Linked DNA regions of Danio rerio. Each later gene encodes a partner of the first gene's protein in a complex. Links are inferred from orthologs where the notes say so. Each region holds a gene or a part of one and is shown in the gene's direction. Other genes may lie near its edges. The genes, in order: calcrlb, adma and ramp1.

Region 1 (10,404 bases):
GCTGTACATGTTTGCATACACTGTAAAAAACAATAAGTCATTACTTGTTTCTAGTGTTTTCCATTTATTTATGGTTGTGAATTGCAGTATGGGATGTTGATCTCCGCTCTGTTGACTTTTAGGGCCCTATCATACACCCTGCGCAATAAGGCACAAGAGGTGTTTCCTGAAGGTTCCATAATGGTACCTCACATGTACATTTCAGGTACATTTTGGTGCTAATATGCACCTTTGAGGCTCCATTGTGGGCTATTTGGGTACAAATATGTATCTTTTGAAAAGGTACTGCCCCAGTGACAGCTCCTGTACCTTTATTTCTGAGAGTGTACCAAATTGACATTGCCCGTCCTTTTACGAATGCCAAATTGCAATGTTGATGCTTAAAATATATATTGTGTAACCCCACTTTAATCTATTTATGCTCATAAAAGTCACTTTTTTTACTTTTCAAGGTTAAAAATTGTTGGAAGAAAGATCAAGGTGTCATAATGCAATTCCAAAGCAGAAATATACATTTATAAATAATAAAAAAGATGAGATGAAATATGTAAAACTGCTAATTTACAGATGTTTTAGTGTATATACTGTAGTGTGTTTAGAAATATCCCTAATTTTTTTTTAAAGCCTAGTTCTCAGTAATTTAAGGCTTCTTGTTTTGTGTGATGATTCATTTAATGGAGGTTCATCATACGTATTAATGTTAACAGCTTTAAATGTGTAGTCACACGTCTCCTTTTAAAGCCAGGTTTTAATATTTAATGAACGTTATCCCTGAAATGAATGAGAAGTGCTTTACATTGTCATACTTGTCATTTCCACACAGTCCCCACAAATGAATTATAATCTCTCAATGTTCCAAATGCCCTCATTAAAACCCTGGCTTCCATTTTTTCTCATCAAGACATAAAGAGCAGATCGTAAGGTTAACAATAAAGCGAAAGTACACAAGGACAGAGAAAGTCTAGCCTTGTTGAGATTAACAACTGGATCAGATTAAAAGCTTGGGACAACCAAATTTAATTTGTTAATGAAGCAGTTCTTCTGTTTCATTTTATGCTTTATATACAGTCATGAATTCATGTCAGGTGATTGGTTGGGCCATTCTACAGCTTGATTTTCTTTTTCTGAAAGCATTTGAGAGTTTCGGGGGGTGGGGGTGAGGGGGGTGGCATCTTTACTGTATTGAACAGTAGAGTGGAGGTAGGAATGTGTGGGGAGCAGAGAGGGAAAGGATTGACAAAGGATTTGAGCTGGAATTTTAAATCATGTCACAGGGAAAACAATACATGTCGATCCATTTACCCACTAGTGACTATTGTCGTTGACATTCATTTTCATTTGTATTCCCCCAGTTGCCTACTAAAAATGCATGGTTAAACATTTGTTTACGTGGCAAAAACATGGTTGATTTGTTTTGATTTTTGATTTGTTATTGTGGCAAAATGTTAATCTTGGCAAGGTTTTACAGAGCTAGAAGTCTCAAAAGCAGTAAATATAATATTTTGATAATTATTTTGGATATACATAGATATAAAATCATCTTGTCTTAGTCTGAAATGACAGTCTGAAATGGAGTGGATAACTGTATAGGGTGTATTGTGTGTATATGAATAGGGTGTGTGTATTTGAATATAGTGAGTCATGTGTGCATATGTATAGTGTGTATGTGTATTTATCTGTAAGAAGTGTATAATGGGTGAATATGTACGGAGTGTCTCATGGGTGCATATGTATGGAGTGTGTATATGTATAGGGTGTATTGTGTCAATATGTTACAGGGTGTATCATGTGTGCATATGCAAATAGTGAGTCATGTGTGCATATGTACAGAGTGTATCCTGTGCATATGTATTGAGTGTGTGTGTGTGTGTGTGTGTGTGTATGTGTGTGTGTGCGTGTGTGTGTGTGTATAGAGAGAGAGAAAGAGAGAGGGAGTGTACATCGTTTTACAATGGTTTTACAATCGTTTTTACAATGGTTTTAAAGGATGCTTGCAAGCTTCTTGTACAGGGGTGCCCAAACTCGGTCCTGGAGGGCCGGTGTCCTGCAAAGTTTAGTTTCAACCCCATAGAGACACACCTGGGCTAGCTAATCAAGTTCTTATTTGGCTTTCTAGAAACATCGTTGCAGGTGTGTTGAGGCAAGTTGGAGCTAAAATCTGCAGGACACCAGCCCTCCATAACCGAATTTGGACATCCCTTTTCTAGTAGCTTGTGACATGATTCCAAGAAGCTCACTAAGAAGTGATATTGCCAAGACTACAAATTAATTAATAATAATAACCGTCAAACCCAAGCCTGAAACATTTTTTAAAACTCAAGTGTTTCAGGTTTGATATTTGTTACTTTGACTTAACTGTTAGTTTTATATGACTATATTTTGTTCTGACAACCGTAGTATTCTATTAGTACTGTTTTTTGTATAAAGATGAACTATATTATTTCATACTACAATTTTCACATTTAAAAGGCAAAAAAGCAGGGGTGCGTAACTGTTGACTAGTGTTAATTTGAGTTTTTTTTTTTTTATTTATTATAGGTGTTTAACTAATCAGAAAGATTCAGTGACCTCGATTTGAGAATAGCTCTTGGTCACTTTAAGTTGTTGTTTTTAAATCGATTCTTATATAAATTATAAAATAAGCTTGGGCTTGCCTTAAAGGTTATAGTACATAAACAGTACATCAGCAAGCCCTTTAACATTACTAGGTACTAAAATGTTCAATATAGATCCTTTAGGTACAAACGTGTCGATTTTGAAAGTGTACCACCCCAGTAGGTTTTTGAGAATGTATAGAGCAGCCAGTACAAACCTGTAAGCTTTATTGTGCTACAACATTACTTGTAACCCAGGTTACCCATACTAGATCCATAGAGCCAATCACTGATATCAGTGTCCCTACTAAAACACGAGGGGGCGCTATAATAATTGTGTATTTCGACAAATCCATGCGTATGTTGCATAATTGGTTCAATGGTTAGCTCAGGTGTAGCTATACTTGCAATGTCGTTGTTTTTAGTCATTTAAACTGGATTTTATGAATAGTAGGATATGTCCTATAGGCAGTATTTTGTTTACTAATAGGTAAACAAAAACTGTGAAATAGCTGACACAATCTTGAGTTAAATTTTTGTTAATGTATCACTTTATTGGATTATTGTATTTAATATTAGACGCGTTTTACGTTGTCTGTAGGCTAACTTTAGCATACGCAGTCTAGTCCTCGTCGTTATACCGGTAAACTGGCCAGAACTCACCCCTGTTCGGTGTAACTGAGACTCGGATGAGCAGTGATGTCACAGGAAACCCGCTCCACACAATCCTCTGCTGCTTCAGGGACCGCAGTTCATCAGCGAGCACATCTCCTGCACTGCTCTACACACCGCGGAGAACACAGCAGCTAACGTGGTAAGACACACTTTATTCTCACACCAAGAATAAGCCTACTTTTATGACGCTTTTTTATTGACAGTGGATTTTATATTATGAGCAATTGGGCAAACTTTACTTCATCTTGATGTGGCATATTGTTCAGAACTAGAATATAAAGCTTCAACATTAGGCTACGTTATTATTAATTTGCGTATTTAAATTGTTGTTATAGCCTCTTGGATCACTCTAAACGAGTTAGTTTAGTCATTTTGCTTGTTATTAAAGAACTTTTAAAGTTTAAAAGTTTCAGATTGCTTGTCAGCTTTGAATTAATCACCTTTATTTTGTCGAGAATGACAGTTTGGTTAAATTAAACAAGTTTGTTAAAGACCTAATGCTTTCATTAGTGTCAATATTGTCATTTGTAACAACACATTTACACTAAGAAACAACAAAAACAATTAAACACTAGCCTATAATGCAAAACTGTAACAGTCATTATCCAATACATTATTCGATACCTCCAATACAGTGAAAGACTGATTGGATAACTGGGCAATTTAATAAAATATTTAATATAATTTCAATACAAAATGTCCTGAAAACCTTCAAAGGAAACTGTAATAAAACAAAAGTTTATAAAATATTATTAGCAAGTAAATATTGTGAAAATATGAATTGATCTTATTTATTTATTGTTTGCTTGTAATGTTTATTTTTTACATTTATATGCTTTTATAATATACCAATTAGTTGTTGAGACAGTTTGGTTTTATTAATTTAGTTCGTTTAAAACCACTGCTATAGTGCTTTTATTAGTGTTAAAGATATAATTTGTAGCAACAATCAATTATTATTACAGTAATTTTACCTCCAATACAGTCAAAGACTGATTGGATAAATGGGCGATTAATACATTTATTAATATAATGTTAATCCAAAATGTACTGAAAACCTTTAAAGGAAATTGTAATAAAACAAAAGTTTATAAACTATTATTAGCAAGCAAATATTGTGTATATATTCATTGTTTGCTTGTAATGTTTATTTTTTACAGTTATATGCTTTTATAATATACCAATTAATTGTCGAGACAGTTTGGTTTTATCAAACTAGTTTGTTTAAACCTTATATAGTGTTTTTATTAGTGTTAAGGATGTAATTTGTTACAATAATCAAATATTATCATAGTCATTTTACCTACAATACAGTAAAAGACTGACTGGGCGGTTAATAAAATAATGAATATAATGTTAATTCAAAATACTAAAAACCTTTAAAGGAAATTTTAATTAAATAAAAGCTTATAAAAAATTATCAGCAAGCAAATATTGTGAAAATATTTATTTATTGTTTGTATTATTTATTTTTACAATTAAATACTCTTAAATGCTTTTATAATATATCAATTAATGTATATAAAATATAATTCAAATAAAAATGTATATATAATTACCTATATGTATGAATAAGTGCTTAAATAAGTGCACAAGTTTTAAAGACCTAGTCTTAGAAAAGTAATCAAAGTTAATAAATGTTTCACATACAGTTAGATAGATTGGATGGTTTTAACTTATTATATTTTATGATATAACACCATTGAACCGTTTAACCATTACATAAAAATGAAAATTTACTGCTTACATAATTTACATTGTATTAACCCTTTGATGCACTACATGGGTCTAAAGTGACCCGTCTAAGCTTATTTTATCTATATATATTTTATAGCTTGTACATTAAATGGTTAAAGTACTCTACTGTTTGTTAATAAAGTGTTAATTTGGAATTCACACACCAACATAAAATATATACAATTTTTGGCAGCAAACCTTTTTAAAAGGCATCATCATTTATTATGTTTCTTATTTTATTACATTTGTTTTGGTGCCACGGTGGCTCAGTGGTTAGCACTGTTGCCTCACAACAAGAAGGTCGCTGGGCCAGTTGGCATTTCTGTGTGGAGTTTGCATGTTCTCACCGCTCCAGTTTCCCGCACATTCCAAACACATGCGCTATAGGTGAATTTAATAAACTAAATTGTCCGTAGTGTATGAGTGTGTGTTTGAATGAGAGTGTATGGGTGTTTCCCAAATACTGGGTTGAGGCTGAAAAGGCATCTGCTACGTAAAACATATGCTGGAATAGTTGGTGGTTCATTCTGCTGTGGCGACCTTTGAAATAGAGACTAAACCGAAGGAAAATGTATGAATGAATATATATTTTGACTGTTTGATATCTGTGCGTTATCTCTATGAGTTTGATCATTTCCGCCGGATAGAGCTTTGTGCTGTGTTACTTTAAAATTAATCCTTCGTAGTAAGGAGTGGAAAAATTGGTGCTATATACTTGGGTGTATCCTAAACGGACATGAGTTAAACTATCTGTCAGTGGGCTTTCTGATTTAGGGCCTGGAGGGTGGCTTTTCGCAACCAGGCCCAGTTTAAAGAGAGTGACAGAGAGAGAATGGCGGAGAGGGAGTAGGTGGGAGACTCTGGGTATTAAACAAGGGTCTCTGGGAATGTCACATCTGTAAACCACTCCTTCAGCTTCACAGGAAGGGCAAAATGTTATCAAGCTTTAGGCCCTCTGTTTTTCCACCAAGTTCTGGGGTCATCCGATTATCCAAAATGTCTGGGAAAACACTTCATTTTTTACATTCCTATTAGAATGACTTTTATTAAGTGATTTATGTCTGCCGCCTAAACCTGAATGGCACCAGATTTATAGCTGTTTTTCTTCTCTTAAAAGTTTCAATGAGTGGTTTATGGGTTTTTTTTTGTAAAGTATTTCCTTAATCATCTCCCTCTGTTATTGTGAAAACGATAAAGATAATATTATATTATACAATTAAGAAGTGCTGATCTGCAAGAGGCACTTAAAGGTCCCATAAAATTAGAATAAAACCTTTTAGATGTTAGTTTTACTCAGTTTTATGGATATCTGAAAGCTGGTGTGCATTTAAAAAATCTAAAACTGATATAAACATCCAAAGCTCGCAGTTTGTCGCTTCCAATTGAATCTATTTTTTTCATGGCACCTCATACTTCAGTTTCTCATTAAATCTTGACCAATCAATATCTGACAGGCTCCGCCCCTTCTCGTTTCTTGCTTCTCGAGGCGCTTCTCATTTGCTTCTCATTTGCTCTGCTTGATCTCAACCACTCTCACTGGAAGAGCTGTGATTAAAATTAAATGCTATTGACTTTAAAATAAAAAAAAAATAAAAGGGAGAAGCTACACTTTGTACCAGCCTCTCTTCATTTTTCATTTAAGATTATATCAAACATGGAATAAAAAGTGCACAATTCAAAGCACTTCACGGGAAGAGATCATTGCTGATATTTCATAGTTCCAAAGAATCATCATCTTTTTCAAAGAACTTAACTTTTGACTTCTGCGTTTCTTATTGAGCTTTGCTTCTCATAATATTCAGCATACAAAAAAGACAATGATAAAAATAATGTCTTGAGTGGGTCCTGTCTTCATCTACATTGATACTGATAGGTTTGTGTCATTTGAAATGGATCTCTATCCACACAAGTACTTCATCCACATTGTAACATTGGAAAATATGAAAATTGTCTGACTGTGTATGCATCTGATGTGATAAAGGCTGAGGTGATCATGAGACCGAACATAAATTAATTTCTTAAGCATTGTCATTTTATTCATAAAATATCAAACTAGTTAGTCCAGCTCAAACTCAAGTGTCATTTAATGTACGTTTAAAACAGAGGTACTGTATTCAACTAAAGTTTCAAGAGGTCTGGTCTCTGTATTTCATTATCAGCAGAGGTCTGGACCGTACTTTCTTTTGTTGGAATGGTTATACATTTCCATCTGGGCAGCAGCAGGGTTTTGTAAAATGTAAAAAAAAAACAAAAAAACTTAATATTCCAAATGGTTGAGAAGAGTCTGCAGACCGAGTCCACATTTATGCTCAGACATGCATTTAATGAGCTTTTAAATGTACACCTAAACCCCACCCCTCACAGTTATGTCACTAGCTCTACTGAGTAGGCGTGTAACGAATCATGGGTGATCAGTGATTCATACGGATCACGACCCACTTGTAGGTTATTCCAACGTTTGTAACAGATGCAGAGAGATCGCCTCTCACGTCATTCAAGTCACATGTTTAAAAGCATTTTGGCTTCCCTGTAAAATACAATGATGACAAAAAAAAGTTATGGTGGGCCTAAATGCTTTCAAGAGCAGTGAGTGATTTTGTCCTTTTATTGTTTAATTAATCATTAAAAGTTGGCAGCAGGTATATTGTGCGCTGTCACTTTAAGAGCAGTACGGTTCTGATTTATGGTTTCACATTCACATCTCTTTTGATTCTCAACTCGTTTGTTTATTACATAAATGAGGGTTAATATGAATAATCACTTAACACCGCGTTTTGATACAAATGTACATGTATTTGCATGTAACACTTAAAATTACAGAGAGAATAACTTTCAAACATAGTTACTGTATATAACAGCCAAAGATATTTGATTGAAATAAAAGTTATGTCTAGGCCTGTCATCATAAAGCCTTTTTGTTGTGCGATATATTATTACAGAAATTGCTGCGATAAGCAATATTATTGTCATTTTGAGATCATTCTGATTATACAAAACTATTATAATGCAAATACTCTTAAATGCTTTTAAGAGACGAAAAACTTTTCATCCTTAAGGTTATTTAGAATCAGTAATTTGATGTTAAAACAGTAAATGTCCCATTATTAAATGTCCTATTAAGTAAATGTCAAACAACAAACATTGACACCAGTGAGGTAGAATGTAAATGTCCTTGTAAAATGGCTGTACTGTTATTTGCAAATATGTGAATATATATTGAAATTATTGAAGTCATATGTAAGTAATGAAGTTTGTTTTGGGGTGATTTTAATTTAGGGAATACTTGTATAAATCCAGTTCAGCATTTCTAGATTTTCCTAGTTAGCCGTGTCACACTCATCCTCCTAGAAAATGCAGAAGTCCTCATAGTTTGTCATCCTTCTGACAGACAGCAATTCTATGTGCAATCCCACACTGTAAAATAAACAGTAAGTTTATTATTATGAAATTATGCAATTGTAAATTTCAAATGTTTAAGGTTCATTAAAACAAATTAAGGAAATACATTAAGGAAATAAACAATTTCTTTGTATCTCTGTGAACAGTAGTTCTTCAAAATGTTTGAGTAGACGTTGATGACTGACACTATAACACACGCACACAAGTATTTTGACGTATAACGGACAGTGTTTTCAAAATGTAGTGCAATCAACAATGTAGTGTTTGAGCTATATTTCTGTTTTTTTTTTTATAAAAATGCAGTTTTCTGAAAGCTACAAAAATCTGAAACTGTTTAGGACACTTACAATGTACTGCTGGACGAGCTCTTCCTCTTCTTCCAAAAAGACAGCAACAGACGACGACATCTCTCGTCTAGTCTATGATTAGTGTGGATCGGATGCAACAAAAATGTAAAATTAGTAATATTGCCTAATAATAATATCAATGATAATAATAATAATACACAAATAACATTATAAAAAATACCTGCACTCATTCTCTTTATAAAAATCTGCTTGAGTAAAGCACCCCTCTTTTTCAAAATACTGTGAACATTTTCTTAATTAATCTGAAAAATGAAGCAAACAAATATTAGTATTTATAAACAGTATTATATACAAACACAGTTAATTAATGTAGGTTAGTTATTAATTGCATTGCATCATCAATGCTGTAAAAAGAACCCTATGAAAAACACAAGCTGTGCATAAACCTTATTAAATAGCTATATGCAAACACAGCTTAGGCTTACCACTTAAGATCATTGTTGTTCGTCCACCACACTCAAATGTTGCCTTAAGATTGCTGTTAAATATTACAATGCAGATAATTTGTTCAATTTCAGTATATAATTCAGAATGAACAGAAGCAAATCAATTTCAAATAGGCTAAAAATACCCGTGTATCCCCATATAGATCATATGGCAAATACTAAGCTCCCAAACAAGCCTGAACAGCATGTGTCTTTCCTGAAAGAGCTGACTTAAGACAAATAAAATTGTTAACTATTAATGCTTGCCTCTTAACATGCTCACTGTTGATCTGCTCCTTCAAAATGTCATCTGATCACTGCTGTTGTTCATATTCGAATGCAAACATCTCAATCAAATCTGCATAATTGAGTGAATTTTCTTAAAATAAACCTGAAGCCGTCTTTCCACAAATTTATTAGCTTTATTGTTTTCTCAAATTAAGCCTAATAATCGCACTGGTTTGCTTAAAAAAATAAGGGAAATTTATCTTTTGATTTTATTAGCCAAATCTTCTTAATATTTTAAAATATATCCAGAATATAATTTTTTAAAAACTTTTTCTTATATTTTCATATAAGAAAATATGCACATTATTTTTAATGACCATATCATTTTTTTAGGAAAATTACAAGCCTCAAGATTAATTTTTTACAGTGTATACTCTGCTTTGAGAACATACTTTTGAATAATTTTAAAGGTTTTGCATCACCAGGGGTCTCATGTATCAACGCTGCGTACGCACAAAAACTTACGTACGCCAGGTTTCACGCTCAGAATCGCTCGCGTTTGGATTTACTAACGATGAACTGAACGTGGGAATGTGCGCAGCTCCACGCCAGCTTTATGGCTGGCGTACGCAAATTTTTTGTGCGTGTCTGTTTTGTTTCCATTGGCGACTCCTAGAGGCAATTGTGTTAAATTCCTCTCTACAAAGTGTCTGAGCCTTGTAATGGCAGCTGTATGAGACGGGTTCATCTAGCAGGTATATAAGGTTTCCATACCATACAGTTGACCAGCTAAACATTAAAGCACAATTTGCAGCAGTCGCCTGTTTTCCCAATGTAATCGGAGCTATCTACTGCACGCACATTGCTATAAAGACACTATCTGAAGATGAATTCGCATGCGTGAATCAGAAACATTTCCATTCAATAATAATAATTGTAATTCCATGTACAAATAAAATATGACGCACAAACTTATTA
Region 2 (10,351 bases), on another chromosome or scaffold:
ATGGTAACTTACACTGTAAAAAATGCTGGGTTCCAGCAATCAAGGTAACTCGTTAGTTTTGTTTACAAATGTAAGTGGATTTAACATAAAAAATTAAGTTTTCCCCTCAAAAAAAAAAAAACTTGTTTTTTGTGCTCATTTAAAATAGGTATTTTGAGTAAACAGCAAATGTATTTTTTTAATCTACTACTATAAGGTTGAAAAGTTATTGTAGTTGTTATTTTGTGCCACTACACTGTGGCAAATTTCCTACAGTACTGTAAAACCCTTCGCACCAACTGGTTAAGCAGGTTTTAGAACATGGTAGTTGGATGTTGGTTGATCTTCACCTTTTGGAAAGAGCTAATGACCACAATTTAGTCACATTATTTTTATTTAGTAAACGTAGACAGGGAAGCACACTTCATCTTAATTATCTAAAATGAAAATACTGACCAAATTGCATGGCTCACAGCAGTATAAATGATGTTCATAATTCAACGGAAAGCTTTAAACAATAAGTAGCACACTATATATATTACAACAGACAAAATAGTGTACTGAATTTATTACATTTATCTTCAATGTACATACAGTACAAAATATGAGGTTGTTTTTACATCTGAATTTTCTATAAAAAAAATACTTTAATGCATGCATGGAGGTGCTATTACTTAAAAAAAATTAAGTAATAGTAATTTACAAAAAAAAAAAAAAAGGTTCTCCAGTGGTTCTTTGTGGTAGTTTCGTTGGCTCGTGATAATATTGGGACCAATATTGCACCAAATGATTAGTTTTTTTTTTTTTTTTTTTTTGATGTGGTTAAGGTCGTTCCCCAATAAAGATGAGCCAAAAAAAGTGCTGTTTGTCACAATTTTTTGTTTTTTTTTCTTGTCCAAATATCTAAAAATTCTTAAATCACGAAGCATTTTCTAGACAAGTATAAAATATTGCTTTGTTTTCAGAAATAATGAGTGAAAATGACATGTTTTTCCCTTAAAATAAGAAAAGTAATCTTCCAATGGGGAAAGTGAAATGTAACCCAAAGGTACCAAAGAATAGATGCAGGTTTTGTTCAATCAAAAAAGAAAATGAGAGCACAGTGCTCCCATAACAGCATGCAATACTGATACTGTGAAGAGGAAAGTTGTTCTTTTTGTTTTATGCGCAAACAAAAGTAATCTTGTAGTTTGATAATATACTATTTAAAGCACATGATCTGTTTTGAAGAATTTTTGGAGTATTTTTCTGGACTTCTGGACGAGTTGCGGTCTGTAGCAAGTCTATTGCTGTCTATGGAGGATGAGGGAGCTCTCACATTTCACTTGAATTTTTTTTATTTGAGTTTATTTGAGTTTATTTGAGGGTTAGTAATTAAACAATTTTCTAGACAAAAAATATATATATTTCTTTTACTTACCACATTGGGAGATTTTTTTGTCCTGTTTTAAGGGGAAAACACTTAATTTTGACTTATCTCTTAATTTGTTGTTGATTGTCTAAAAATATTTCTTGATTTAAGAATATTTTAGACTAGAAACAAGACTAAAACTGTAAATAAGAAAAGCAGTGTATGATAAACGTATATTTACAATGAATATTTACATTTATCATTTAAAAATAGCCATCAGAATAAACCATACCAATATAAATAAATAGTTTAAAAAGATAGTTCACCCAAAATGAACAAATACTCACCATTTATTCTCCCTCAAGTGGTTCAAACCCACCTGATCTCACAAGGAAATGTAAGTATTTTACGTTTTGTCAGTTTGGTGGCTAATTCGTATAAGTTCAAACAGTTCGGTCGTATGTAAATGCACAATTTTAAAAAGGAGGTGTGGCACCTAACCCCGCCCCTAAATCCAACACTGAAATGATTCAACGATGATTCCTTGGATTTACAATTTTTTTCTAAGTTAAGTGGTTGTGAAAATTTTATTTTTGCTGGATTTAAACAACATTATTGAACATTTAAGATTATTAAATTATATTTGTTTGTCTAAATTCAACATATATAAATTATTTGCAACAATTTTGCAGACATCTTTTTTTTCAGTGAACATTCATTGGGGACTAAGCAATTCATACTAAATTGTACAAATGAGATCGTGTAAATTCATACGAATTAGCCACTAAATAAAAAAGTTACGAATTGCAGTGAGATTGTGTTGTTCAAACTCATTCATTTATTCATTTTTCTTCCGGCTTAGTCCCTTTATTAATCTGGGGTCGCCACAGTGGAATGAACCGCCAACTTATTCAGCATATGTTTTACACACCGAATGCCCTTCCAGCCGCAACCCATCACTGGGAAACATGCACACACACACTCATTCACTACAGTCAATTTTAGCTTACCCAATTCAGCTGTACCTATCTTTGGTCTGTGGGGGAAACAGGAGCACCCAGAGGAAACCCACGTGATTGTTTAAACTCTTTATGAGTTTTCTTTCTTCTGTTGAACACAAAAAAAGATGTTTTGAAAAATGTTAGAAACCAGTAATAATTGACTTCCATAGTAGGAAAATCAAATATGAAGTCAATGCTTACAAGTGTCCAACATTTTTCAAAATATCTTCTTTTGTGTTTGTTACAAGTGATGAGTAAACGATGACAGAATTTTCAGTTATAGATGAACTATCCCTTAAATAAATAACTTAAATAAATAAATAAATAAATAATGCCGCATAAGACACCATGACATGTAACATTAGGTATAAATAACATATACAAAGGTACTACAAAAATACCAAGGTAATTGTTGTCAGTGAACTAAACTATATCAAAAGTTGTCACATTTCTGATAATCTCTCTCCTCATTGCAGTGAACCCCAAAATAAAAAAAACAACAACAGCAGTAAATTCCCGTTAAATATCTGAAAGCTCAGCCCCATCAGGGTGTTCAGTGACTCATTGTAATGCTAGCATTCCTGAACGTTTAACACACATAAAGCTACCTCCCAGCAGCCACTATGGGTTCCCCCATCTTACCTGATCAAATGTCAGCAAACCTTCTGATAACTATGACATATTGGTTTAGCAAATATTTACCATATATGGACTGAGAGTGTGTGGATGTTGAGCAATCTTTCCATATAAGGACAAATCAAGACTGCAGTAATTAACATGAACAGATGACATTCGTTTAATAAACGTTGGCTGTTAGATGGAGAACCGAATGCACATATTAACTTTATTTGCTTATTTTTCAAGTCATTTGATGTAGTATAAAGTGAAATTAGGTGAAGGTCAGTAGGCATTCTCGCTAAAGTGTAAATCTCTCTCTTTATCTGTGTTTACATATCCAGGAATGGACAGTTTTACCCTTTTGCATAGAAAATACTATCAGTATCAGCTTAATGAATGTATAGGCTTAATTATATTCAGTATTGTCATGATCTATATATTTCACTTTATTTGACAAAAATAAAATAGGTAGCATTAGATAACTGATTAATTATCATGAAGCATTTGTTGTGTCTTTGTTAACTTTAATAGCATCAATTTTTGACTTTAATAAATGTAATAGCAAATATAATTTAATATAAATGTAATTGCAATGAACAAGTCAATGTTTGGTAACTAAAATAAACAAAGACACATATAAATATGTATGCTGTAGCTCACTGCTAGGTAATATTACAGCATGAACTGATGTTAACTAATAGGTCTTTGTTGTAAAGTGTTCTCAAAAGCTCACGATACTTTGTGTTAAATCAGTTAAACTGCTTTGATAAATTATGTTGTTGTTATGTTATTGTGTTACGTGTAGCTGCATAAAGATATTAATATTCGTATTTTGCATTAATATAATATTAATTTAACCTCAAACAAGTTAAACATTGTTTTTTTTTTTTCTTATTTTTGTAAGAGCACACATCATTTCTGTACCCCCAGCCAACAACACAGGTCTAAAAGTCATCAGAAAAAAAGGCTAAATTCACTCTAATGTTGTCATTTTCTAAAGTATTCACAAGTACTGGCATTGGTTTATTTTTTCCCCCAGAATTAAATCCCTTAAGCCATTTAATGAATGGGGTAACATGAACTAACAATCAACAAAACTGCTTCTTTATTAACTAAACTGAACAAATATGAATAAACACAGTGGCAAATTGGTAGTTAATATTAATTAAAGCGTTAACTGATGTCAACCAGTGGGTCTTTGTCGAAAAGTGTTACCAAAAGCTCACTCAGTACTAGTTGAAACAGTTAAACTGCTTTAATAATTCATTTTTATTTTCATATTGTATTATATTTATATGCATTGGCCATGATTTTTTATTTAACAATAATATTTTACATCAAACAAGTTAATACTTGTTGTTTCTTATCTTTAAGGAGCATACAGATCATTGCCATACCCCCAGACAACACTCAAATACAACAATCAACAATGCTGTTTAAAAAAAAAAAAAAACTAATTTTTAGTAACGTTGGCATACCCCAAAGAAATCCCCGTGATTACTGGCAGCGGTTTATTGCTTCCTTAAGAAAAAATTTGATTAAGCAATTTCATCAATAAGCCCAGTTTCATTTTCTTATTCTCTTTGGTACTTTGAGATTTTCAGCTTGAGCAACGGAGAGGAAGTCCTGAGATGAGAGAGTGTGTCAGCCTCGGCCCCTCCCATCTCTACTAGTATAAATGCACTTACCCCAGCTCTGGAGAGTCAGACTATTAGAAGAGTATCACTGCTGCACCAGCATTCCCAGCAAGTCAAGCGCCTTTGGATTACTTTCCACACAGACTTCTGAGGCCAACCCAAGAGTACGTCAACACAGGTATGCATTTCTAAATATGCCTTTTTGTTACTTGCTTGGGATCAATGCACAGGTTATCTGTAGTTACGTAAGAAATCTGAGACCCAGTTTTGCACATGTAAGCCAGGCAAGTGTAACTGTAGTCTTATTGAAGAGAATTTGTTGCCTGATGTAGTTGGAAGAATATACATCATTTAGTGCTTATTGGGGACCTGAAGCATAGCTGCAAGTTTACTTATTCATAGAAAGTGCAACCTCAGCTTGACATAGTAAATAAATGCATGATGAGAGTGTAAATAGCTTGGATTTTGGACTCTTGTGCAAGCCTGAGCAAAGCATGGTTGGCACAGAGTAGGGGAGTTGCATTCAGACTATTGGAGGTTGATGTCTAACAGACGATTCATTTATTTCCTTTAAGATTTCAATCAAGATGCAACTGATCCTGCAGTCAATCTTCTGCTGCTGCCTCCTGGCCGCCGTTGCACCCGGCGTGGACAGTGCGAAGCATGACCTGAAAAGAAGGTAAGCACTCAAGTCACGACTTGATTCAGTACCGATGTTCACTGTTGCTTGAAAAGTTTTCTAACGGACATGCTTTCCTCTCTTTGATACTCAGCGTCTGGCTTCAGAGATCAAAAAGGGATTTGAGTCTTCCTGCACTGAGGGCTTTAGAAAACAGGCAGTTTGTCAGACCAGACGACGTTAAAGACAACTTGAGGCCACATTCCAGGTAAGAAAAAATGCAACTCAAGTCACCGTTTTCTGTTAGAACATTAAACTTAAATGAATTGCTCAGAAATACCAGCCAGGCATTAACGTCTTCTCTTGTCTGCCTTTCCAGCACTGACATCAGCATTAGAGCAAAACGCTCCAAGAACTCCATCAACCAGTCCAGGAGATCAGGCTGCTCGCTTGGCACCTGCACGGTGCATGTGCTGGCACACCGTCTCCATGACCTCAACAACAAACTCAAGATTGGGAATGCACCCGTTGACAAGATCAATCCCTACGGGTATGGCCGCCGGCGAAGGTCCGTTCCAGAGAAAGTTTTGAGACTGCGGAAGGATGGCAGTGGGATGAGGATGGTGTGGAGCAGCTCAAACTCTCAATCGTGGCTGCACAAGCTGGAAGCGCTGCTCAGACGGACGTGAGCGTACGGGGTGGGAGCACTTGGGGACGCGGCGACAGAGGCTCGCCTGGCGACAGAGACTCCTGCCAAGAGTTCTCCAGCGCATTCTTGTCCAAGCACAGCGACTGGAAGAGCAATCCAGTCTCCTGAAGGCTGCCCTCGATGGGGAACTCCACAAAGAGAAGCAAAGAAACAATAGCAGCAGGGAGGCAAATGGAGCAACTGAACAAGTGTGCCTTGGATATAAGCAAGATATCATTGCACTGAAGTGGACTGGCCTCAGGGAAAAGCAGAACTTCCTCTCTTGGGACTGCCGTCCTGGTAATCAAGCCGGTGGGATTAGTTGTGCTAGACCAGTGTCACTGTGTCCTGAAAGACTTTGGACATAACAGGGAAAGAATCAAGATTCCAGAATGGAATACACACTCAGAGAACGACTTTGAAGATGCCAATGAGGGTGTTTCTAATTTGGAGTCGCACGTTTGGACACTGTAAGCAGGATGATCGTCTGATTGAATTGGTTATTAGAACTGGTTATATGTCCACAAGGATTGCACTCGAACTTACTTGAACATTGTTGTCGTTGTTTTTTGTAAAGAGATATGTGCAATCTATTACTTCTATCTATTAATATTATTGCGAGTATATGTATATTTGAAAAGAAAATTGTGAAGAATATCACTATTTAATTGTTTTATATAATTTTGTACTACTTCCAGAGAGCTATTTTTGTACAGGGATCAAAAATATTAGGGGCATTGAAGGTAGCATTATATATATATTATTCATGTCAAAAAGCTGTGGTATAGGATAACTTTTTTATGCATATATATATATGTGTGTGTGTGTGTGTGTGTGTGTGTGTGTGTGTGTGTGTGTGTGTGTGTAAAATGGGATCTATTTTATTTGTGTGTTTCTGTGAAATGTGAATGTTGTCATTCAATAAACTTTTGCATACAATTAAAGCTGACGTCTTCGGGAGCTTGTCTGTTTGTTCCAAAGGAAGTGAAGGTAGTAAAAGGAAAGTCTTTCCATTGTTTCTCGTCCGGATTGCCAAGTGGACAGACAGATGATCAACACCTGGTCTGGGTTATTACATGTTAAAGGGCCTGGAGGGCAAACAGGGTGCCAAGTGCTTTCTGTTTCAATACCTTCTCTAGATGTAGTAGGTAGTAGATGGAGAAATCTGTTTCTGAAGGAAGAGTGGGCTAGGGTTGTGTTTAATGGCTGCTCTACATGGGGTGGGTTTCTGGATGTAGAGCAGAGGTGAGAGGCGCTCCATACCACATTCCACTTCAACACATCATTTTCATTCCAATCTTAATGAGAAGGAACTTCTGAAATGCACTCTTTTACTGTTGCACCCCTGTAACCCTAATTTAAAAGCACCATATGATGCTAATCACAAATGAGCACGTACACAGAAGAACACTGATAATCTCAATTTAACAAGTGTCCACTGAATACAGGTTGAAACCAAAGACGGTTCTGCTACTGAATTTTATTTATAAACTGCCTTCATCAAAAATTTAGATGTTTTTAAATCTATAAAAGCTTAGGTATTTAGTGTTACTTGATTAGTATGAAATGCTAACATGTTTGTGATGTCAGAAAGCTAAAAATAGCCTATTTTTTTTCCGTGTTCTACTGGACATACTGCCACTGTTTACCTCCCCAGGTGAACAATTATAGCTTGCAAGTTTTTTTTTTTCTTAGCTGCCAATTGAAAATAGGCACTCCCTTAAAATGTTGTGGTTGCTGAAATATTTGAAGCCCCAAGTGAAACATTTGGACTTTTTCTTCAAAATGAGTGTTTGAATAAACTTTTAAGGTGTTTTCAAGAGGGTCAGATGCTGTAATAAATCATATTTCCGACCTTGTGGCTGAAAACGTTCGCAGGCACGCGGTCTTCATCTTGTCTTCTTATTTTAATGCTCTAGCTCCACCTTGTGGTGATTATTACTTAAGTTGGCGGGCTTTTGCTAAGATTTTGCAAATGTGTTCTGGGACTGACGCCATCTCCCTCATTCATCGACACCTCATAAATCTTCACCACTTCTGTCAGCGAATTTGGACCAGCAATGAACACAACTCTTTTAAACTTTGGAGTCTGGATATTTAGATTTTTTTTTAACCAATTTAATGACCGAATATATCATCAACGTTGTGTGAAATATGTTTTGGTGGACAATACTGGAACGTGTGATAAGTATCACTTTTTATTGTGACATTTGAATAGTGTCAACATTTTACTGACAAATGTCCAGAATTTGTCCCATTCATGAGCTAATTTGTCTTATTTTGACTGCTATGCCAAGCTTTAAGACCAATCTGAATCCGCTTCGGTGTGACTTTAGCTAATGAGTTTTGTCCAATGCTAACAAATACATTTTTCATGAGTCCAACATCCAGCTGTGCGAGAAAATACAAGATCTGATGTAAGAGAAGTCATCTTTTGCTACTGTATTGTTTTTGAATAGAGAAAACAAATCTTGAACCTTACTCTTAAAAAACAAAAACCGAAAAGCACCAAAAGCGGCCCATAGTAAAATGGAGTTGAATAATACTATTTTGGCTATTGTTGTTACATGAATTTTCAAATTTACTTTTTTTCTATTTTTTTATTTTAATTTTTTTTACAAGAGAGGCTAGAAAAGTGTAAAGCTCTACATTATTATTATTATTTTATTTTTGTAATTGAAATGGCCAAATTCTGACTGGGAAAAGTTGAATGCGCTGGACAGTTAGTTATTTGCCTAATACCCATCAGATTATGCTACCAACACTATATTTGAATAGTTCTGATGTGTAGATTAGGTAGGTTAGTGCGATATTACAGCTTCATATCACACATTAAAATTTACACTTGTAGCAAAATCTGAGGGGTAGCATATTCATGCGTGTAGCCAGGGGGGTTCGAGTGGTTCGAACGGCCTAAAGGTCCAAAATTTGTCCGTTTATATATTTTATGTAATTTAATATTATATAATATATTTAATATATAATTAAAATATTTATAGTCAATATATATTCCCGTCATGTCTGTGTTTTTGAGGCTGGGAGGTTCGGAGGACCCACCCCTAACTGACAAAGGTCCAGAATTTGTCCCAAATATGAGCTCATTTGTCCTATTTTGACTGCTGTGCCTTCATAAATAATAAAAATAATTCATCGAAAAAGGCTTTAAGACCAAACGGAATCTTCTGTCAGAGAAGTCTTCTTTCACTACTGTATTGTTTTTGAACAGAGAAAACATTTTACAGGTAACTTTATTCTAAATCTTGGACCTTATTTCTGAAATAAAAACGAGCAATAAAAAGGTGTGAAGCACCAGAAGCACACAAAAATATATTGGCTATTGTTAATATCCAGGAATTTTTAAATGTACTATTTTTTTAATTCTGAAGAATTCATTATTATTGTTTTATTATTATTATTATTATTATTATTATTATTATTATTATGAAATGGCCAAGTTGTGACTAAGGAAAGTTGAATGTGCTGGCCTTTTTGAATATGGTTTGTTTTTGTCTATTACAGTTTTTCTCAGTCGCTTTGGTGCATTTCTCACAACACTATTTACATTTGCACAACAGGTCATGCATTTCTCAAAACAATTAGTCATTTGTGCACATCCTAGTAGCAGTTTCTCATTCCTTTCAAGAAATTGCAAATGCTTTTGGACATGCATCAATTGCTTTCATACAACTCTCTGCTGTTTATAACATTATCATCTGCTTATGTCATGTCAGTCAAAATGAACTAAAGTTGTAAATGCTGAATAGTCATTCAATATAAAACTAATAGTCCTCCTTACATTACTTGAGTCATTACATACAAAAATGTTGAACTTGATGTCAAAATCGGTCAAGCAAACTTCATAAAAAACAATTTAATCTTTATTTTCTTGAAAATGTCTTTAAAATTGAACAATTTGATGAATGATTTACAGACCTGTGTATGTTATAGGCTCAGTTACAATATGTTCTGCAATATTGTTTACAGTTGTGCACAGCTCTACCCAAAGGGAGTTTATGTTTGTTGTAAATAAGGGTGTGTTTATTCTTTTGCACAATGCTGTGAATAAATTAGGATTGTAAAGAGCATGTGCAGTAAAAATGTGAAACATACATATTCAGTGTCTTGTACTCAGATGCCTCACTAAATATAGTGATGTCTAACTTTACTGTAGTTTTTAAATGGCTGTGCAAATAGTACAAAGTGCTGTCTAGAGCATTTTCAGCAAGTGTCACCAAAATCTGACTTTTTTTGCATTGAAAAAATGTACAGAATAAAGTGTCATAATGAAAACATGACTAAGCCATTTGACTATCTTGTTCATAAACAATGGTGTCAGGACCTTTCATTTTGATGATACTGACACTTTGATTGATATGAATACTTGCTTTTGAGGAATGAACTATCCATTTTGAGCATGTGACACGGTTTTGCAGGTTATCAGCTAGGTTTTGCAGTTTG
Region 3 (10,291 bases), on another chromosome or scaffold:
TAATATATATATATATATATATATATATATATATATATATATATATATATATATATATATATATATATATATTTAATTTTTTTATGCTGTTACTGTCCTCACTTCCTCACTTCAGACAGTAAAAAGCATTCATTACATTCAGGAACACTAGTTTTGTACATGCATGTTGTTAATTAAATGTTTTTAATGCTTTAATGTACAGTAGCATACACTGAAAAAATTATTCATGGGATTTAATAAATTGTTTTATGTTAAGTGGTTGCAAACAATTTAAATGGGCTGAATTTAAACAAACGAATAAATTTAGTCATGTTCAACTTGATTTGTTTAAATTCAGCTTGTATAAATTATTTGCAACAATTTGCAATGACACATTTTTTTTCAGTGTAGCATACTATAACTTTAAAATTTCTTTAAAATGTAATCTGCATTTACTAGTTAATAAACAATTTGATTGATTCTTTGACAGCATTGTGGCTCACTCGACCAAGGACAACAACCACAAGCCCAAAGGTCTACTGACCACTGAACTCTGAAAGCGATGCCTCAAGCACATGCCCAGCACCTGTACCTTGGACCATCAAAACATTTCTTTTGAGCACGACATTCCAGTCAAACACATTCCAGTGCCCTTGCAGTGCAGGAACAGACAACTGTGCTGGGCTAACATAGAGAACAGATGGCATCCACGAGCCCAGATCTCACCACAAATAAGAGAACTTGAAGGGCTAGCAGCACGTTCTCAGTGTTTGACGACCACCTTTCCTTTTATAACTCTTATACCTCTTTTGATTGACTCTATACAGCTCTTTGTTGTAGCAGCAGCAGCAGCAGCACATAGATGACCCGCTCCTGTTGTGAATGGATGTTTGATCATCTAGAATGTTTGATCTACTTGCTGTCCACTTCTTGTTCAGATCTTCTGATTGGACGACTGAGCGCATCACTGACTGTTTTTCTTCATGCAGAAGTTCTATTTTTATCTTTGCCTTTCTTTTATGTTCTTATGAATAATAGCAGCATTCCTTATTGCGCTTTAAGTACTACTCTTAACTGCACAGTTGTTAGAGCACTGTTAGCACTGGCCAACATGCAGTCGTCAAGTCGCTGAGCCAAGATCTGCTGTTTGGATCTTTTATCAATGCTGTTTTTATCCAAACACTGTAGTTATGACCTGCCTTATTTTAATAGTTCATATAATATTTTTTTTAATGTACATGACATGAACTCATTGCAGCATAATGTCATTTGTCATCTGTTTAACTGACATATTTCACTGAGTATTCAGTGTAGTGTGTAATAGCAGCTTTAAAAGGGTCGATTAACCCAGAAATGAAAAGGTTCATTATTTTTTTCAGCTTCAAGTTGTTCCAAAGCTGAGTTTCCTGTTTAATATTAAATATATTCTGAATAATGTGGGTAACCAAATCCCTCTTAATGCTGGTTTTCCCATTTTTGTCCCTACTATAAAAAGCAAAATGGGGATCAAAAACTGACCTGAAAGAAACTCTTATACGTTTGGAACCATTTGAAGTAAATGATGACAGAATTTTTTTAAAGATGCTGAATTTGATTTTTTAGAAGATACAGGAGCAGCTGAGACGTCTCTGACTTGTGCAGTATTAAACTGGACAACGTAACCAGCTAAAATGTTTTAGGTGTGATACTAGAGGCCTTTCATTAACCCTTTCTTTTCCTCCTGTGTAAACTCCATAAGCAATTGCTGCTATTTTTCAGTACACTGAAAACTGCATTCTCGCTATAAATCACTGGATCTGAAATCACTGGAATCAAATATTTAAAGGTCAGTTATCAACTTTTTATACAAGCAGTTTTTGTGCGAGAAATTGTAAGTTAAACTTCTGAAAAGGTGTTTATATGATATTCATGCTCTGATTATTGGAAATGCTCAATCACAGAAAGCTGTTATAGCAGGAATATATGTATATGCTAATCACGTTTGTTCTCTGCGTCTCAGTGTAGGCTTATTTACATATTATATTAATGATCTGTAGATGTCAGCAGTGATCTGTTTATTTCGATACGCTGAAAAGTGTTATACACTGTAAGCCTTGTCATTTTGTATGATGTGAGACGTTCTTTGAGTAAAGGGAATTTTAACATGGTTATTGACTAGTGCTTTTGTGTGTACAGTTTGGAGTATTCTGAAAAATTTCCACTCACACTATTTCTTCAAGGAAATAATTGTTTCATTTAATCTTAAACTTTGCTGATTGATAGGCATAGTAATGTAAAGGTATACTGTAAAACCCAACAGTTAACTTAATCAAACGAAATGAGTGTAGTTAACTCAAATTTACTGAAAGTTAATTCTACTCATTTTAAAAGAGTTTTGAACTGTTGAAGGTAATGAGTTAATTAAATACCTCATTACGTCTACTTAAATAGAGTAAGTTTATGCAAGGTACTTCTATATAGATTAGTTTTTTAAAACTTAAATGGTTTGTTTCAATCAGTTTCCTTAAACAGTTTGAGTTGGCATAATTTGGGTTTTACAGTACTCAGTTGGTTTAAGTTCTCTTCATTTATTGGGTTTTACTGTGCTCAAATTGCTTTGTTTACTCAAATGGACTAAGTTCAAAGTACTCATTAAGATTAGTTTTTAAACTTAAATGGTTTGTTGCTATCAGTTTTCTCAAATGGTTTGTTACCTTAACTTTTTGGGTTTTACTGTGTATTGAGTTATATTGAACTTTTATACCAATCATTTTTAAACCGTATTAGTGTAATAAGTGTGGTCAGGCAGAAAAAAAAATTGATGCACATTTATACAACAAGCAACAGCAAATTGTGCACAAAATAATCATGAAAATTGAGTGTCAAGGATTGTAGAAGCCAACTATTAATGCTCCCTGAACATAAACGTGATGCTGTCATTTCCTTTAACCCAGAGGTGCCACTTACTCAGGTAAAACTAAAAATTATTCAAGTCTTTATGAGTGAATGTATTTATCATTGGGTAATTGTGGTTGTTCGTTTCCCCTCACAGGGAGGATGAAATGTCCAGTGTGGCAGCAGGTGGAGCCAGAGAGCTTCACCAGTCGGATAGGATCACGCTCGGGTCCTCAGGCTTGTATACAAAATTGGAAGCTCACATAGTGGCAAACACACAGGGTAATATTTCCCACCATAAAGTAGGAAATTTATTTGACAACAGTAGTATTTGTAAAAAAACTACAGTATCAAAAAAAAAATCTAGTAAATTACTATTTAAAGCAGGGGGGCCAAAACCAAATATAATTGGGCTATAAAGTTACTATTGCTAATTTATTTCATAATTTTTAAAAAATATAATTTTTTTCTTAAAATCCTAGTAGCTAAAGCAGTATAATTTGATTAAAATGGAAAATACAGTCACATTTTTTATAGCACAGTGGAGTTCAATGCTGAGTACACTAGTCAAGCAATATCAGCTTTTGTTCCCATTTGCTCACTGATTTCTCTGCATTGTGCCCAATCCATCGGGTGACAGTATGTGCATTTAAAAAAAATCTAATTCATTCAACTGAAACATGTAATTTCCATTTGTTTTTTGGGGGGCTTAGCAACAAAACAAACAAACAAAAAGTTAGATTAAGTAGAAATGACAGTCTATAAACCATGCTCATCATTCTCATTCTCTTGTCAGATGGGATGGTGGGCCAAATTAAAGGTTACCATGGCCCTATTTTGAACATTTTTGGATTAAAGGATTTGTATAACATTTCTAAAGGACATATTTTGTTGTTGTTATTGCTAGTCACTGAATTAAAAACTTGATTAAGACCCTTAAGCAGGTCGCACACCATAAGCGCCGCTCGGCGCCGCGACACGGCGCGTACATGACAGTTTAAAGTATCACACACCAGACGCGCACATTCGAATGATATTTAACATGAAACTAATCAGATGGCGCTCTGTGGCGCGGCTGAAAAATGAACTGCGTCCTGAGCCGTCGCCGGGCGCCGCCGACAGCCGCCGACTTGCGGCGCCGGTGTGTGTATCCTGATAGAAACCTATGTTTAGAATTCTAAAATACATGGCGCTGCGTGGCGCTTCTGGTGTGCGACCTGCTTTAGGACGCAGTTCATTTTTCAGCCGCGCCACAGAGCGCCATCTGATTAGTTTCATGTTAAATATCATTCGAATGTGCGCGTCTGGTGTGCGATACTTTAATCTGTCATGTACGCGCCGTGTCGCGGCGCCGAGTGGCGCTTCTGGTGTGCGACCTGCTTTAGATGAATAGTTTTCACCCATTGATGGATAAATGGTTTAATTACAATTCATTATGAATATTGGAACAATTACACACATTAAAGTATTCCAACTGCTTTTAGATTACTTTTGGCCTAACTCATTTATTTAATAGATTTGAATGGAATTATTATTGGGTACTGTATTTTCTTGTCGTGCTTGAATTGAGTATTAGGTTGAACTATTTCAATAATTTTATCATGTAGTTAAAAAGGCAACTGATTATGAACTTTTTTTGATGCACAATCGAACTAAAATATGTATTTTTCTAGGTCTGATTATACGCTTAAGATTACATATAAGCATATAACCCAATCCTACGTAACCTAATTTTTGACTTCTGTGTAAAATATCAACAACTCATAATAAACCTACCAAATATGTATTAGAACCACAGGGTTAACTTAGAAACGTTTTGTCACAAATCTTAAATTTGTAATTTTTTATAAATTTATTGTGCAATGCTAAAGCCCCACTAAGAAAATTCCATTCGTTTTTCTGCTACTTAATTCTAGCAGCACTGCTGCTGATGCTTTAATGATCAGACCAACTAATCATTTTGGCAAATGCACCTGTAATTCAGATTATGACCACAGATGGCGTATCATCTCACGTTTACTGGGGCTGGTTTCCTAAATTACGAATTTACATTTGGACATAAAAATTTGCACCAGTAAGCTACACAGAAAGTTTCGAGTCGAATTTCTTTTGTGTTATTTATTTATTAATAGCATTGGGTGTATTCACTATTTATAAATTGCAAATGAAGAAGACGGGAGTAAAATTGGAAGAAACAAAATGAACACTAAAACCTTGCATGATATTGGGGCTGCAAATGTTTCCTTTTCATTAACCGCAGAGTGAATCGTAGTGGTTTCCTCACTTCTGCAATCAATTAGTTTGATGTTTATTATTAGCTAGCATAAGTTGATGAGCAGTGAGGGAGGCGCTTCTCGTATAATGTTCCCACAAGCGCAGCTCGCATCTTTCAGTAGACGCGCCGCCACCGCGCGCCCGACCAACCACGAGAACTACTGAGCGCGCGCTCCAGCTGACCCGAGACCCGCTTCAGACAGGTGCTCGTTTGGGCTTATTTTGACGCTAAAGCAGTACTTTATGAAACACAGGGCATGCTGGCTGAGTGGAATAGAGGATTTCTTCCTTCCTTCAACGTCTTCAGTGCAGAACCAGCGCTGAATGAAACTGTATGAACAATTAGCTGACAGACGCTCAGATGTGTCTAGCTGTGAAGGAATAGCGACGATTAACCGACCAACAAAAAAAACTTGTGTTTGACATTGACGCGTCATGGCATCAGTGTCGTGGAGACACGCGCTTTTCGTCTTGGTAGCTGGTAAGTTAAACTGGTTTGTCCTGTTTGTTGCCTGCATTCCTGCCTATTATGCATGTTATTAAATTCCATGAAGGCTAGAAAATACAAAAAAAAAGTAGAAAAAGCTGAAACAAATGAGAAAGTATTATGTAGTTTGAAGGACTAGCGCTAGTCACTGTGGATATTCCTCAGCAAATGTTAACACAATTAAGCAAATATTGACTGTTTTTTATTTATTTTATTTATTTATTGTTCAACCGTAAATAACATTGAACTTTGTTGTAGTTGTCATTTTAACACTTAACTAAACGCTTAACTAAACGATTAAACTATAATAAAGCATGAGTTTGTATTTATAGAACCAAATATTTTGGAAAACGTTTTATTTAGTGCCTTATGAAAATTAACCATTGGTTTACTACGAATAAAACTAAAAATTAAAAATGTTAATTAAACTGTAGCTGCAGTGAAACTAATTATATATAATGTGGTTATGCCAAAAAACAGGTTAGCTACACACTAGTACTATAATAAAAATATGGCTTGGTTTCTTAAGCAGTTGGTTTTCAAATATATTTGTAGCATTATTAATTAACAGTATTTGCTGTAAGAATATTGTTTATTATGCTGATATTATATGTTGCACCATTGTTGTTCATTTATTTTTTACTGTTTAAATGTCTAAAAAACTAATTTTTATATAAATATATTTTGATTTTGGGTACTACGCACAGTTGTAAGCACTGAAAGTGTTGACAGAAAACATATAAAACTATGAATTAATTTGATCGCCACTGTAATGCTTTTTTGGTAAAAAAAAAACACAAATGCTCTGACCCCGGTATTTTTCACAATACACAGGGGTTGAAAATTTTGCATAAAGACATAAATTCATAAGTGACAAGCCCTCCCACGTATGGGTCAATTATCTAATTTTCTAATTAATAATGCATGGCAACCTCCTCCTGTTGGAAAGAATTCATTTCACACTTACCTTAACAAGCTGCCTGAGCTGTGCCGAGCATGACTAACAAGCAGCTCTCTGCTTTCCTTGATTTTCTGTCACCATTCAATTGGGACCGCTATATTACTCGCCAAAGCTTCATGCCATACTTTTGTGGAAGAATGTCTATTAAGAATTTCAATGCAACTGCAAGCGATTTGTTGACATGAACTGACCTGACAGTGAGAAATATGACATTTTCTTGTTTGTGACAGTAACAAACATCCGTTTGGGTGACAAAAAAGGAAACAGGGTGCTAATGGATTCACACAAGAGAAAGGCATTATGCTCACGCAACTGCAGAAAAAAAATGCAATCAGCCTGTAAAAATCTGTGACTCTTGGATAAACACTTCTGCTCCAGTTAAGCTCACTGCAGTGAGTGCGCTATAAAATATGTAGATTTAGCAGGGGAATCTTCTGACTTTGAAACTCTGAGGAAGTGAACTCAGGATGAGTGTCTGTTAACCATGGCCAGGTCTGAAATGAAGCGTGTTTTATGCTTTGCGAAAAGATGTGAACAAAAACTTTGATATGCATTTCAAAATAGGTCACAATGCCATATGTTGTATTCCAACTGCACTGCATTGTTCAGTGTTGCTTCAAATGACTCTAAACAAAAGGTTAAAAGGTGCTGTAGTGTAAACTCTGTTTTCTATGGTCAGGTTTGTCTTACAAATGTGTTGTGCCAAAGACAACTCAATTTCTTTATCGAAACATAAAGCTAGTTAATCTACCTGCATTAATGTAGTAGCTATCTGACTATCCAGACATTTACCTGACCTGTTCTTGTTTTATTGGATTTTATTTTCACTTTTTTCTGTTCTTTTTGATTTTCACTTGGCCTTCCCTTTTATACTTTGGCTTTCTTTTATATTACCTTTCCATTTCCCGTGCTTTCCTTTTTTATATATGTTTAGGATATTTGAAGTTTTGATGCTTCCTTTTTTCCTTGTTTATTTTCTTTTCTTTTCTGTTTTGAAATCTGAAACCAGCAGAAAAAAAATTGAAGGAAAATGACAGAAAGCGGTATAAACAAAGAAAAAATGGAAGCATATGTAACTTTAAAAATCTAAAATATAAAAAAAGAAAAGAGGAAAGAACAGGAAAAGGAAAGGTAATATAAAAGAAAACCAAATTGTAAAATGGATAAATATATTTTTCTTTTTTTTTCTGCTGGTTTCCCTTTTATTATTTGGCTTACTTTTATATTACCTTTCCTTTTTCCGTTCTTTTTTCTTTGTTTCTCACTTTTTGTCCTTTTCCTCAAATTTATTTTCTGCTGGTTTCAGGTTTTGTTTTTACTTTTTCTCTTTTCTATTCTTTTGATTTTCTTTCTCTTTGGTTTTTTACATTTCCTTTGTTCCTTTTCTAGTTTTATATATTTTTCCCTTTTCTTTCCTTTTTTTTAGCTTGTTTATCTTCCTTCCTATTTCTTTTATTTTATTTTTCTTGTTTCAGGTTTTGTTTTTCTCTTTTCACTTTCCTTTACAGGTTATATTATGCTTTCCTGTTTACATTGGCTTCCTTTTACAGTATATGTTCTTCTTTCCTTGCTTTACCCTTCATTCATTAATTCATTCATTTTTTTCGGCTTAGTCCCTGCAACCTTTCACTGGAAAACATCCATACACACATTCACACACATGCACTTACCCCAATTATCCCAATTTGCCTATACCGCATGTCTTTGTATTTGTGGGGAAAACCGGAGCACCCGGAGGAAAACAACGCAAACACGGGAGAACATGCAAACTCCACACATAAATGCCCACTGACCCAGCCGAGGCTTGAACCAGCGGCCTTCTTGCTGTGAGGCGACAGCGCTACCCACTGCGCCACTGTTCTGCCCTCCTTTCCCTTTAATGTTTCATATTTTTTCCCATTTACTTTTTTTTCTTTATTTAATTAGTTTATTTCCCTTTCTATTCCCTTCCTTATCATTTTTCTCTTTCCATTGATGGTTCCTTTGCTTTCCTCCTTTTTTTCCCTTTAAATAGATGTCTCCCACTCTTTATAAATGGCTGCGTCAATCTTCTCCCACAGATGCACCATGGGAGTCTGAGAAGTCCTAGGATATTGATGGCATCATGACTATTCACTGCTGGCAGAGAGAAAAAAGGGGCTTCATGCGGTTGTTGCGATGCGAGCCGAGAGAAAAATGCCAAGCACACTTTATAAACCCAACAAAACATTCACTGTGTTTAAACACAGAATACTTTATCTTTTGAGAGTCACTGCCTTGGCAATCAGACATGTCCAAGTCTGATAAAAACAATAAATACTGTAAAGGAGACATTAACACTATGAAGGGGGAGCACAAAGATGCATCCTATCTAGTTCTCTAAATGCAGAGAAGCCCGGTGCATTTCTCTGATTGAGGTGAATAACCTGATGGCAGTGGGCGTGGAGATCTCGACAGCCGGAACAAGAGCAGATGAATATATGGCTGCTCTATTTCTTCGCGCTTGTCTGGACTGCTTTGTATTTCATTCCCATTGCACTGCCTTAAGCAGTTCTACCCTTGTGATGATTCAGTTCAGTAGGTCTTGAAACTAAGTGCATTAGTGAGCATTGTGTGCAAAGAATTTAATGCTGATTGATAATTGTTGTGGAATTCGTCTTGCAAACGGAGCGTTTGCAATTCTATTTAGAGGGTTGCTGGACTAAACCGAGCATGCTTGATGGTGCACAATGACTGTTGGAGCTGAACAGTTCAAATGCATCCAGATTTCTGATTAGAACACACAGTCTAGACATAATCTGAAGACATCTCAGTAACGTTAGCTTTGAGTCACTTGTAAAAGTGGACTGAATCGTTCTCAATGATTTTTTTATCTTTATTGTCAATATAGCAGAAGATTTAGCATGCAGTGAGACATAATATTTTCCATTAAAGCTGAAAGCGTTGTTTTTCATAAATTCATAAATACCTTTTATTCATAATATGTTTAGTGAATCATTGCTTCACTTGCCTAAACATGCATGTTCTGTTTGGCCAGGAGATGTGTGAATACGAAAACATGTAAGCAATGCTTCCATGTAAAAGAATGATTCACACACTAGTCACTTAGAAGCAGTGTTACCTAGGGTTATGAAACCCTGCTCCAAAACCAGGGTAACACTGCTTTTGTGCTGTTGACCCTGCATTACAGTGGCAAACATGCACAGTGTAAAACAATGTGGTGCATGTGACTGCAGGAGTGTAGAAGAGACTGCTTCATACTTATAGTAGCTGGAACAATCCATTGACTTTAATGCACAGATAGTGACATGATCATCTGCTTGTGTATGACCCACATTGTACAATTTAAAAGTAGGGCAAATGGGTTTATGTAGATTTGTTTAATTGCATTAATTAAAATCATTATAGTATTGCATTCTTTCATTCATTAAATTTCTTATTTTAATCAAATTCCTGTTAATTTCAAAATAATTGTTTGTTTTATTTAAATCAAATAATCAAATATAAATAAACAATTAAAATGCTTTTCTTTAAACATTTACACAGACACCATAACACACCCTCGTTGGTCCCAGACCCTAGTATGAAAAAATTGTTATCACTTTATTTTTTATGGACTTTTTAAAAATATTTGTTTATTATTATTTGACTATTGTGTATACTTACATTGCAACTACATACCAGCTAATTTTCATTAAAGTATTCGTAGGCTGCTTGCATAATATCTGCTGATACTG

The links.
Region 2: the proteins of calcrlb (region 1) and adma are in contact, whole or in part, in a cryo-EM structure (PDB 6UUS), measured with the Homo sapiens proteins. The link is inferred for Danio rerio from reciprocal best matches to the Homo sapiens genes CALCRL and ADM. Residues at the interface, in NP_001258680.1 of Homo sapiens: Val36, Thr37, Asp70, Gly71, Trp72, Asp90, Tyr91, Phe92, Gln93, Asp94, Phe95, Asp96, Pro97, His114, Ser117, Thr120, Trp121, Thr122, Tyr124, Thr125, Asn128, Val135, Ala138, Leu139, Leu141, Phe142, Thr145, Thr191, Leu195, Ala199; in NP_001115.1 of Homo sapiens: Cys110, Arg111, Phe112, Gly113, Thr114, Cys115, Thr116, Val117, Gln118, Lys119, Leu120, Ala121, His122, Gln123, Ile124, Tyr125, Gln126, Phe127, Thr128, Asp129, Lys130, Asp131, Lys132, Asp133, Asn134, Ala136, Pro137, Lys140, Ser142, Pro143.
Region 3: the proteins of calcrlb (region 1) and ramp1 are in contact, whole or in part, in a cryo-EM structure (PDB 6E3Y), measured with the Homo sapiens proteins. The link is inferred for Danio rerio from reciprocal best matches to the Homo sapiens genes CALCRL and RAMP1. Residues at the interface, in NP_001258680.1 of Homo sapiens: Asn39, Met42, Thr43, Gln45, Tyr46, Glu47, Tyr49, Gln50, Lys51, Ile52, Met53, Gln54, Thr68, Trp69, Asp70, Gly71, Arg113, Arg119, Thr120, Phe228, Leu231, Ile235, Thr239, Val243, Ala244, Gln250, Trp254, Tyr255, Leu258, Phe262; in NP_005846.1 of Homo sapiens: Trp59, Ile63, Tyr66, Arg67, Ala70, Phe83, Trp84, Pro85, Asp90, Phe93, Leu94, His97, Gly98, Phe101, Arg102, Cys104, Pro105, Ile106, Ser107, Gly108, Arg109, Ala110, Val111, Arg112, Asp113, Pro114, Ile118, Leu119, Phe122, Ile123.

What each region holds. Positions count from the first base shown.
Region 1 is NC_133181.1:12,637,770-12,648,173, forward strand, and holds the start of calcrlb (calcitonin gene-related peptide type 1 receptor), read left to right. Parts: upstream 1-3,343; 5' UTR 3,344-3,408; intron 3,409-6,153; exon of another isoform or gene 6,154-8,420; intron 8,421-8,752; exon of another isoform or gene 8,753-8,824; intron 8,825-8,933; exon of another isoform or gene 8,934-10,404. UniProt on the Homo sapiens protein: G protein-coupled receptor which specificity is determined by its interaction with receptor-activity-modifying proteins (RAMPs). Together with RAMP1, form the receptor complex for calcitonin-gene-related peptides CALCA/CGRP1 and CALCB/CGRP2.
Region 2 is NC_133182.1:72,307,867-72,318,217, reverse strand, and holds adma (adrenomedullin a precursor), read left to right. Parts: upstream 1-4,645; 5' UTR 4,646-4,764; intron 4,765-5,161; 5' UTR 5,162-5,173; coding exon 5,174-5,265; intron 5,266-5,359; coding exon 5,360-5,473; intron 5,474-5,584; coding exon 5,585-5,894; 3' UTR 5,895-6,842; downstream 6,843-10,351. UniProt on the Homo sapiens protein: Adrenomedullin/ADM and proadrenomedullin N-20 terminal peptide/PAMP are peptide hormones that act as potent hypotensive and vasodilatator agents. Numerous actions have been reported most related to the physiologic control of fluid and electrolyte homeostasis.
Region 3 is NC_133184.1:30,534,203-30,544,493, reverse strand, and holds the start of ramp1 (receptor activity-modifying protein 1 precursor), read left to right. Parts: upstream 1-5,244; 5' UTR 5,245-5,562; coding exon 5,563-5,608; intron 5,609-10,291. Other genes in the region: epb41l5 (band 4.1-like protein 5), read left to right, coding at 470-536. UniProt on the Homo sapiens protein: Accessory protein that interacts with and modulates the function of G-protein coupled receptors including calcitonin gene-related peptide type 1 receptor (CALCRL) and calcitonin receptor (CALCR). Required for the transport of CALCRL to the plasma membrane.